Linked DNA regions of Drosophila melanogaster. The protein of the gene in region 2 interacts with the protein of the main gene of each other region in a pairwise test. Each region holds a gene or a part of one and is shown on either strand. Other genes may lie near its edges.

Evidence for each region.
Region 1: the proteins of rec (region 2) and CG10298 interact in a two-hybrid assay, tested with the Drosophila melanogaster proteins (one large-scale study listed by BioGRID).

The regions. Positions count from the first base shown.
Region 1 is NT_033777.3:6,340,896-6,344,308, reverse strand, and holds CG10298 (uncharacterized protein), read right to left. Parts: upstream 1,308-3,413; 5' UTR 1,240-1,307; coding exon 1,159-1,239; intron 1,106-1,158; coding exon 623-1,105; 3' UTR 510-622; downstream 1-509. Other genes in the region: CG17919 (uncharacterized protein), read right to left, coding at 60-188; CG17917 (uncharacterized protein), read right to left, coding at 1,473-1,973, 2,174-2,308; Osi20 (osiris 20), read right to left, coding at 3,213-3,413.
Region 2 is NT_033777.3:15,829,584-15,834,781, forward strand, and holds the start of rec (recombination-defective), read right to left. Parts: upstream 3,050-5,198; 5' UTR 3,035-3,049; coding exon 771-3,034; intron 739-770; exon of another isoform or gene 687-738; coding exon of another isoform or gene 582-686; intron 511-581; coding exon of another isoform or gene 368-510; intron 306-367; coding exon of another isoform or gene 1-305. Other genes in the region: CG4576 (uncharacterized protein), read left to right, coding at 1-305, 368-510, 582-686; CG43318 (uncharacterized protein), read right to left, coding at 3,185-3,700, 3,808-3,810; CG43317 (uncharacterized protein), read right to left, coding at 3,941-4,351, 4,453-4,782; Arpc3A (Actin-related protein 2/3 complex, subunit 3A), read left to right, coding at 5,183-5,188. UniProt on the Drosophila melanogaster protein: Required for meiotic DNA recombination in females. Probably not involved in DNA repair and recombination in somatic cells.

The DNA.
Region 1 (3,413 bases), 9.5 Mb from region 2:
GACAAAGATATCCTCTATATATTTGGATCTTTTTAGTGTGCTTTTGTTAGTGGCCCCACCTTTAACAACTGGTTCGGCGGCTCGGGAATAACGTCGGGTACCACCTGGTGGGATCTGAAAACCTCCTCCACGGAGCCAGCTTGAACGGCCAGTAGGCAGCCCACCAATGGCAGTAGCACTCGCAGCATCTTTGTGGAGAGATTATTCGGTAGACGATAAGATCTTGAGAAAACCAATATATAGGAGCTCCGCTTTCGAATAAGGTTGGTCTGCAACTGAAACCAGTTTGCCATGATGCCATACTTTTAAAGCGAAGCTCGAAGCTTTTTGTTTAGTAAACAGCTGGGAAAAAATATACTCAATAATTAAAGTTATCTTTGTTTAAAGTTTCGCTTCGGAGATTATAGATTATTATTATACATTATATTTATTATACATTTATTCATATTATTTGCAAATTATACCAGTTGGTAATAGAGTAATTAAAGGGACTGGATTTGAAAAAAAATATTTTTTAAATATATATTATAGATATTTAGAAATTTATCTGTTTTTACATGATTCTTTTTCTTTACAGCATGCTTTGTAGGGATTTGGGAGCCTAATTATGAGGAGAAAGATACTACTTCTTGCCAGATAGTTGCTTGTATAACTTGGGCACATAGTCGTCCCACTGTGCCTGAAAAAAGTTTCCGGCAATGGGATCTCCCAGCTTGTACTTGCTCATGAACTTGGAGGTGCTGAAATTGGCTCGCTTGTCGCCGCTCGTTTTTGGGATTTTGGGCTCGTTGCAAGTGAGCTTTTGGGGCTGTTTGAAGACCAGGAAGACGTAACGATGAAGCCCCGTGCCTTGCGGCGGACCTGCACCCACATATTCGGTCAAAACTACGCCGTTCTCGACTTGGTTCCCTGGAATATTGACCACCAGCCAGTGGTGCCACTCGCGGAACTTGGGCTCCTTGCGACTGGGCGCATCCGGATCGGTCAGGAGGAGCGTGTAAAAGGCATTCGGATCTGCATCCCATTTCACCTTTGGCTGGCTCTGCACTTGCGTGGGTGTCAATTCACCGCCTACATCCACCACCTGTCCACCACCATAAGTCACCTGGAACAACAAAATGACATGGACGATTGTAGGCGCTATTTGTATTAGCTTACCGTAAGCAAAGTGGCAGGACACGTCTTCAGGATATCCGGCACGATCTTGTGCTTAGAGAAGCACACGGTGGAATCGGACATTTTTAGCTGAGTGGGCAACAACTAAAATGAAATTTGAGGTGCCAGAAAATTTCGTATTTTAAGGCTACGCCGACTTTAATTCTAACATTTCTGGCTGATAGTCAATAGATAGCCAATATTTCCAAAAATGGTGTCCTTGTAATCTGACCTAAATATCCTTATAAGGACATACTTTCAATAGCTTCTTCTGAGATATATTTGGAATTATTTTTATTGGAAGCTGGACTCTAAATTCAAAAGTGTGCTACTTGACGGGCATTGTGCGAGATGGCTTTGATAAGGGATGGGACATCGGGGCTCCATTGGGATGTGAAGAAGTTCCCAGCTACCGGATGGCCAAATCTGTATTTCTTTGCGAACCGCTTGGTTTCAAAGCCACTGCGACCCTTAACCGAGTGCTTCGGCAGTTTCGGGAAGTCAAACTTGGTGTAGTCCCTCTGTTTGTAGAGCAGGAAGACGAACCGATGGGTTCCGGTCCCCTTCAGCGGAGTGGCACCCATGTATCCCACGCGCACGTCCCCAAGGGCCAACAGATTGCCGGGTATGTTGAGGACCATCCAGTGTAGGAACTCCCGGTGCGTGGGTGTTATAGCATTGGGTACGTCCGGATCCACCATCAGCAGGGCGTAGTAGTTTTCCGGTGCCGAGGGCCACTTTACGGAGGGTTCATCACGCACTTGCATGGGTTCCAGTACCTTTCCACAATGTGCTGCTAAATGCCCGTGGTAAGTAACCTTTTGTGGGAGCAATTCAATTTCATAATATGATTAAAAGTATATTATTTAATTTTGAACAGTTGCCTAGAAATACAATTGTTGAATTGGGCATAGCATACATTTTTTTGGTTAAACTAAATTGGAATTCAAATTCTTAGATATCCGAATATTATCTCTTAAATAATTCTTTATGAGATCATTATTTGTGTTTTACTCACATTAAGAAACTCCTGCGGTCCGATGTGTATTACATCTGGTATCACATCCAAGGACCTCATGATCTTGCTCACTTCCGTATCCGACTGATGAACTCCTCTAGTTGATTTGAGGCTCAAGCTTGGCGCGAATCGCATGAAAAGTAGGATACATATGCTAGCCAACATTGTGAACCAAGTCTTTCACTGACTTCAAATTGGCTGATTGCTGGCTTTAAATACCCATTGCATCTAACATATGTTTTCTGCCTGGCCAATTAAGCAGCAAACACAGATGTCAGTTCCATTAAGTTAAGGTACTTTGCAACTTCCTTACAACTTCATAAAACAAATTGTCGTGTCTCAGGCCAATTAATGGTTCACTACCACCACCCACAGCAGTTGCGTGCTGGCGAGTTCTGTAAACATACACTATAAAATCAGTTAGTACCTCGTTTAGTTGACTATTATGCTACGTGACCCCTCATTTACTTGCCATTGCCCAGAGCACTTCATAAGTAAGGCACATCAATGAATTTACTTAAAATTCTATTATATTATATACACCCAGAGAAAAGCCCGCTGTCAACGATCGCGATCTATCCAAGATCGAATCATAATTAGATCGAGATCGAATCATTCTCAGATTGCAAATGACCTTGCACAAAATATAATAAATATTAAGTTATTATATCTTATTTAATTTACCAATTTCCGTACCAAAAAACGTTGATGAATGTTTTAAATTTTTGCATTTTTAATAAATTAAATAAATATTAATTAAATTCAGTTTTTGGTCGTTTTGTGACAAAGAAACGAAGGCAAAAGGACGAAGAGTCAATGAGAAAGAAGATGGTATGAAGAAGATGGTAAAATCAGGCTAAGTGGGGATGTGGTTAGAGCTGAAGAATGGCTAAAACTCTCGCGTTCCTAACCCTAACAACTACAATTATGGCCTGGGGCAGGTTCCGGTTCCATTTGGTCTGTGTGACTCGCAGCCATCCTTCCTGGGAAGGATCGCAAATTCCTTGGTATGTACAATTGGGCGAATGACTTTCCCCGTTTAGGAGGACGAGCTGTAGCTGGACGAAGAACCCGAGGATCCCGACGAGGATCCCGAGGAGTAGGACGACGAGCTGCTAGGATGGTACGAGCTGTAGGCCAGGTTCTGCGAGTCCCAACGGGCATAGGGACCTCCGCTCATGGGCTCCCAGCTGCTGGGATCGTAGGATGAGGCGGTGGTGCTGGGCACTCCGTATTCGCT
Region 2 (5,198 bases):
CACCGAATTCTACACGTCGTCCTTTATGAACTTCGGTAGCTATTTCTGTGGAGTCCTGGCCGCTTTGGTTTACGATCAGTTGGCATTGAAGCAATACAAACTACGGGAGTTAAAGAGCTTCCAGCTTCTTTGGTTTACACTTATTCCAGTGGGGATTCTATGGCTGTTTAGTGCTCATCCCATCTTCCAGCACTACTACGTGACGCCGTCGGCCATTTGGGGAGCATTATATGCCGGCCTGCAGCGAAACATCTGGGGCTTCGGGCTGGGAATCTTCATCGTGGGCATGGCCAGCAAAGTGGGATGTAAGTATCAACTGCGAGATATGCTTGGTATATCCTTGGCAAATCTTACTGTTCTTTCACAGGGATTTTCCGTAAGTTCTGCTGCTTGCCCATTTTCCGCATTTTGGGACGCCTCACTTATGGAGCCTTTATCGTCCACCTTCTTGTGGCGAGAATCGTCTTGGCCACAGTGCGGGAGCCCATTTATTTTGGCACGGGCATGATGGTGAGCTCACTTCTGGCATTCAATAGGAATTGGATTTTATGTAACTCAAATTGTTCTCATCTTATCTACAGTTTGCTTTCATCTTTTTTACGGTGACCGTGTCCTATCTCTGCTCCTTCTTGCTGGCCATCTTTCTGGAGCTTCCCGTCTCCTCCTTCCTCAAGCTTATGAGGTAGCCCAATGTCCTAACTTAAAGATTACTTATAACTAGAATAAAAGACATAACTTAATTAAATCCGTCACCAAAAAATTTCACTTACCCTGCGCCAATCTGGCTGGAAACGTCTTCATCGAGATTGCAGCTTCCTTTGAGCTCAAGGAAGTAACGCAGAACAGCATTGCTGGCGTCCTCGTTTAGGACCGGATTTAATTCCTGGCGAGCATAGGACAAGAACTTCTTAATCAGTATGGGTGGGAGCAGGTCCAAGTCCCCCTCCTCCGGAAGTACCTCCAGACGTTTGTCAAGATCATAATCCTGCTGCATAATGCTGTCATTATCGTCCTCCGTTTTGATTGTGTCATCATCTTTTCCCGCTGCCGGCACATTAAGGCTGACCTCGCACATGGAGTCGCTCATTTTGGGCTTAAGAGCATAGCGGGCTGCAATTCTCGCTCGTTTCCTAGCGCCCGCATGGAGAGCCCTTACGTGGGCAGTCAGCGACATATCTCTCTCCGAGGGCTTGTCCAATAATATGTAAACCAAATGGAACTCCCGCAGCAAAGAGGGTGAAATATTAATATTCTGTAGAAGGTAGCGCCCCTCATCGTATTGTCCTCTTTGTGGATTTGCGCACGCTATCACCGAAGGTTGCGCCGGGAATGAGGCAAATGCTCCTGCAAGTGGAAGATTTACTTCCTCTGATTGTAGGCACTGCAACAGTACGGCCTGCTTGGAGGCAAGTTTATCCACATCATCGAGGGTGCAGTGACCGCCTCCACTGGCCATCATCAAGGAACCCGCTTGTAGCACACGCTTGTTACGCCCAGCAAACGTAACACCCAGTTGCTGTGCGGATTGAGCCCCACGTTTTCCACTCACGTGGGCACCACGTTCAGCGATCTGAGCACAACTTTGCAGAATCTTGGTCTTTCCAATTCCGGGATCACCCACCAGGAGCACGTTGATGGCTTCAGTCTCCGCACCTTTCCCGCCGAGAAGGGATAGTAAACAGGCGGCTTTGGGTAGCTCATGTCCGTATACCTCCGGGGCAATGGATTGCACCAGTAGCTTAAAGCTGTTGGGTTCCGCATTGATCATGACAATCGCTTCCAAGTCACGTTCGCTGAACTCCCGCTTGATGCTGCTCGCATCGCGAATGCTGACTGCCTTGAGATAGGGCTGCATCTGGTTGGAGGTGTCTCCAGTGGTGGTATCGTCGCCCAATTCCTGCAGCTTAAGGATGCCAGTTACCACGACCTCCTGTCCGACACGCACAGCATCAACTAGATCATGTCGCAGCTCCACGTCCATTTCAGCAGGCATGCTGGTCTCAAAGTCGTGGACCAAGTTCAAACTGGACTCCTCCACGCGGATAATCTGTCGGATTGAAAGCCTGGTGTATGGGGAACTGCGAAGAGGCACGAATTCGTCACGAGCCACACACTCCGACCGCTTGCATTGATAAGGACGTGGCTGGAAGGTTCCCCGTTGGCGCATGGCAATCTCCATCTGGCAGCGACTGCAGCGAAAGGCTTGCCACGTGAGGCTGTAGCTAGGCTCGCCCACATTGCTCACAAAACCCCGGATGGAAAACAAAGTGTCCACTCGGGAATGGCTTATTCCTTCTATTGATTCCACAGGCACAAAATCATCCGGTCGTGCGTAGATCTTGCGTACCCGTGGGGTTGGAAGGACGTACTGTTCCGGAGTGGACACCATAGCTGTGGTGGAATCATTACAGTCCAGCTGGTGATTGACGACCACAGTGTGCATAGCCAACGACAGGGTTCCTAGCGTGCGAAGCGGGTGCTCACGGATGTCTTCGGACAAACTAGGCCAAACCTCCTTTAGCTGGGCATCTGATTTGATGCCTGCTGCGCAGAGGGGGAAGAATCCCCGATCCCGTATCATCACAAAATCGAAGGTGTGAGGATTACGTTGGTAGTATGCCTCCACGGCCATTATCCTTGTGGCCAGTTCGTTGCCCTCCTCGTATTTCTCGCGCAAGAAGTACAGTCGCCAGCCGGAATAAGCCCGTGGATTATCCACCGCAATGCTCTGCACCTGGAGCCCGTCTTCTGGTGCGGCATAGTTTTCCGGCCGCAGAAAGCTGCAGTCCAAGTGAGCATTGCGTCCTCGCTTGCCGGCTGTGCGGCTCCAGCCCCTGGGTTGCCGAGTTGCAGGCGGAACAGAAGGAGCGTCTGGTGCTCCAGGTTCCCCTTGGTTGGGTTGTCGATTGCCTCCGGCTGGGATCACACGTCCATTGCGCCGAAAGTAGAAGTACGGACGGTAGGCTCCGCCTCCGCGACCACGACCACGCACAAATCGCGATGGGGCGCCCCCCCGGGAAAGCGTTGGATTCATTTCAGCTGGGGAAAGTTTACAAATTTGCCCGCTTTTAAATAGAGATGATACCTATATTACAAATGACATGAAATATCGATAACGATCTTTGGCTAAGATATTGAACCCTTAACGATTTTATATTTAAACTTATAAATCGATGTAATAAAATTATTTTGGAATTATTTCGGCGGACACTTGTGATATCTTCGATTCTTGCTTCAGTATGCTCAGCTGGGCGGGAAGGTAGTGTTCAAATACACCCGATAGCTTCGACTTGACCTCACGAAATGTTTCCAACACTTTTATCTCCTCGTTCTCATCAGTGGGCTGCACGGCCTTTAGTTCATGTAGTAATTCGGTGCAGCCGTCGAGGAGCATCACCTGCTTCAGGTGAAGCTTAAGCAGCTCCTGCTGAATTGTCTTGATGCACTGGATTTGTTGGTCCATGCGCAGTGGAATCGTGGAAAGAGCCAACATTTGCTCCATATGCTTTTTATCCTTCACGAACATTTTAGCAGCACTTTCCATGGCTTCAGCAGGTTTTGCTTCAATCTCCTTGGGATCTTTGTGCTTTTTATCCTCCACGATCGTTTTATGAATAATTTCCATGTTTTCAGCAGGTTTTGCTTCAATCTCCTTGGGATCTTTAATGCACGGAGCTTCCGTCTCGGTTTTAGCTGGAATCTGTAAGGGAAATTAGGGCTTACTAACTAACTAGCCTTAGAAATTGACAGCTATCGCCTTTTTTTTTGGTTATCTACAGCTTTGTATTTATTTATTTTTTTTTTTACCATTTTGTTCTCTGCTGAAAAGTTTTAGAGACCGTATGCAACCAATGATAAAACTGAATAGCAGATCGAATACTAAGTCAAAGCCTCCTTTTAATAAGAAACTCATAGTTTTTTACAGAACATTCAGAGCGATCTAGGGTTCTGGTTTCTGGTCACCTTTTTTCGGGAAAAGTGAACTCAGATTGACGGGACAGTTGTCCAGGCGGGCCAGTTGCTTAACCATGTCATCCAGGAGCAGGCTGTTCCGCTCGTCGGAACCCTGGATGAGCCCGTAGGCCTCTGCGTTGGCGATTCGGTGCTGCAGAAGCGGCATGTAGGGTCCATTGAAATGCGGCTGTCCATTGGCCAATTCCGGCGGAGGCTTAGCAGTGGGAATAAAGTCCGTTTCCGACTTTGGGGACCGGCAAGTCGGCTGGTTTGGCCGAAACTTTGGAGTCCTATAGCCCAACTTTCGCTTCTTTTCCGCCTGCAAGTGATTTTCGCTCACGTCGTCGGACTCGTAATGATGGTTATAAAACCGGATGCCGTATATTGCGGGCTTTGGCTAAATTAGGTAGATTTATCTTTAGATAAATTAATATTTTGTGTTATAGATAGTGTTGATGGTTAGAAACTGAGACATATCTCCAAATCTCCAATACTCACAGCTCTCTTGCGCTCCTCATCGTAGCCATCGTCATCCGAATCATCATCCTGTTCATCATTGTCCATTTCAATGGGAATCCGGTCACTGGTCACCGGCACCTGGGGCACGAATTCTGAGGCACTTGCTCGGAGTCCATTAGGGGAGACCGCGGTCGGCGGAGAAGCAGAAGCCGAAGTCGGAGGAGTAACGGCTGGAGTCACCTCATTGCTCATGGACTCTAGTTCCAGACATAAACGTTTGTAGGCCATCGTGGTTCTTTCCAAGTGGTTGAGATCCAATTTGCCAGCGATATGGGCAACGTTCTGGAGGAATTTTTTACTTTCATCCATAAAGAGCGAAGTCACAATCAAATTCCTTTGTGGATGGCGCAAACATTAAAAATTTTAAACATTTAACACAAACTTGATTTGTTTAGCATTCGATGTTTCGATTCGATTTCTGACAGAAAATCTGGAACTGTCAAACATATTTAAATTGGTTGATGTACAACAATTTATAAAAAAATATTAATAACGAACTAAAAAACTTGTAGTATTTAATGGAATTGTCCACAATTTTAAAAATTTAGCTCAGTGTGACCATTTCGGTCGCGACTTATCGGTCTTGTCGATAAATTAGAGCTGCAAAATTTGTAAACAGTGGACGCCTATAATTAAAAACAATATTTAACATCGAAAAAATAACGTTTTCAACGTTAATTTAAATAATTAATTTAAAATACAATTCAACATGCCGGTTAGTGGAT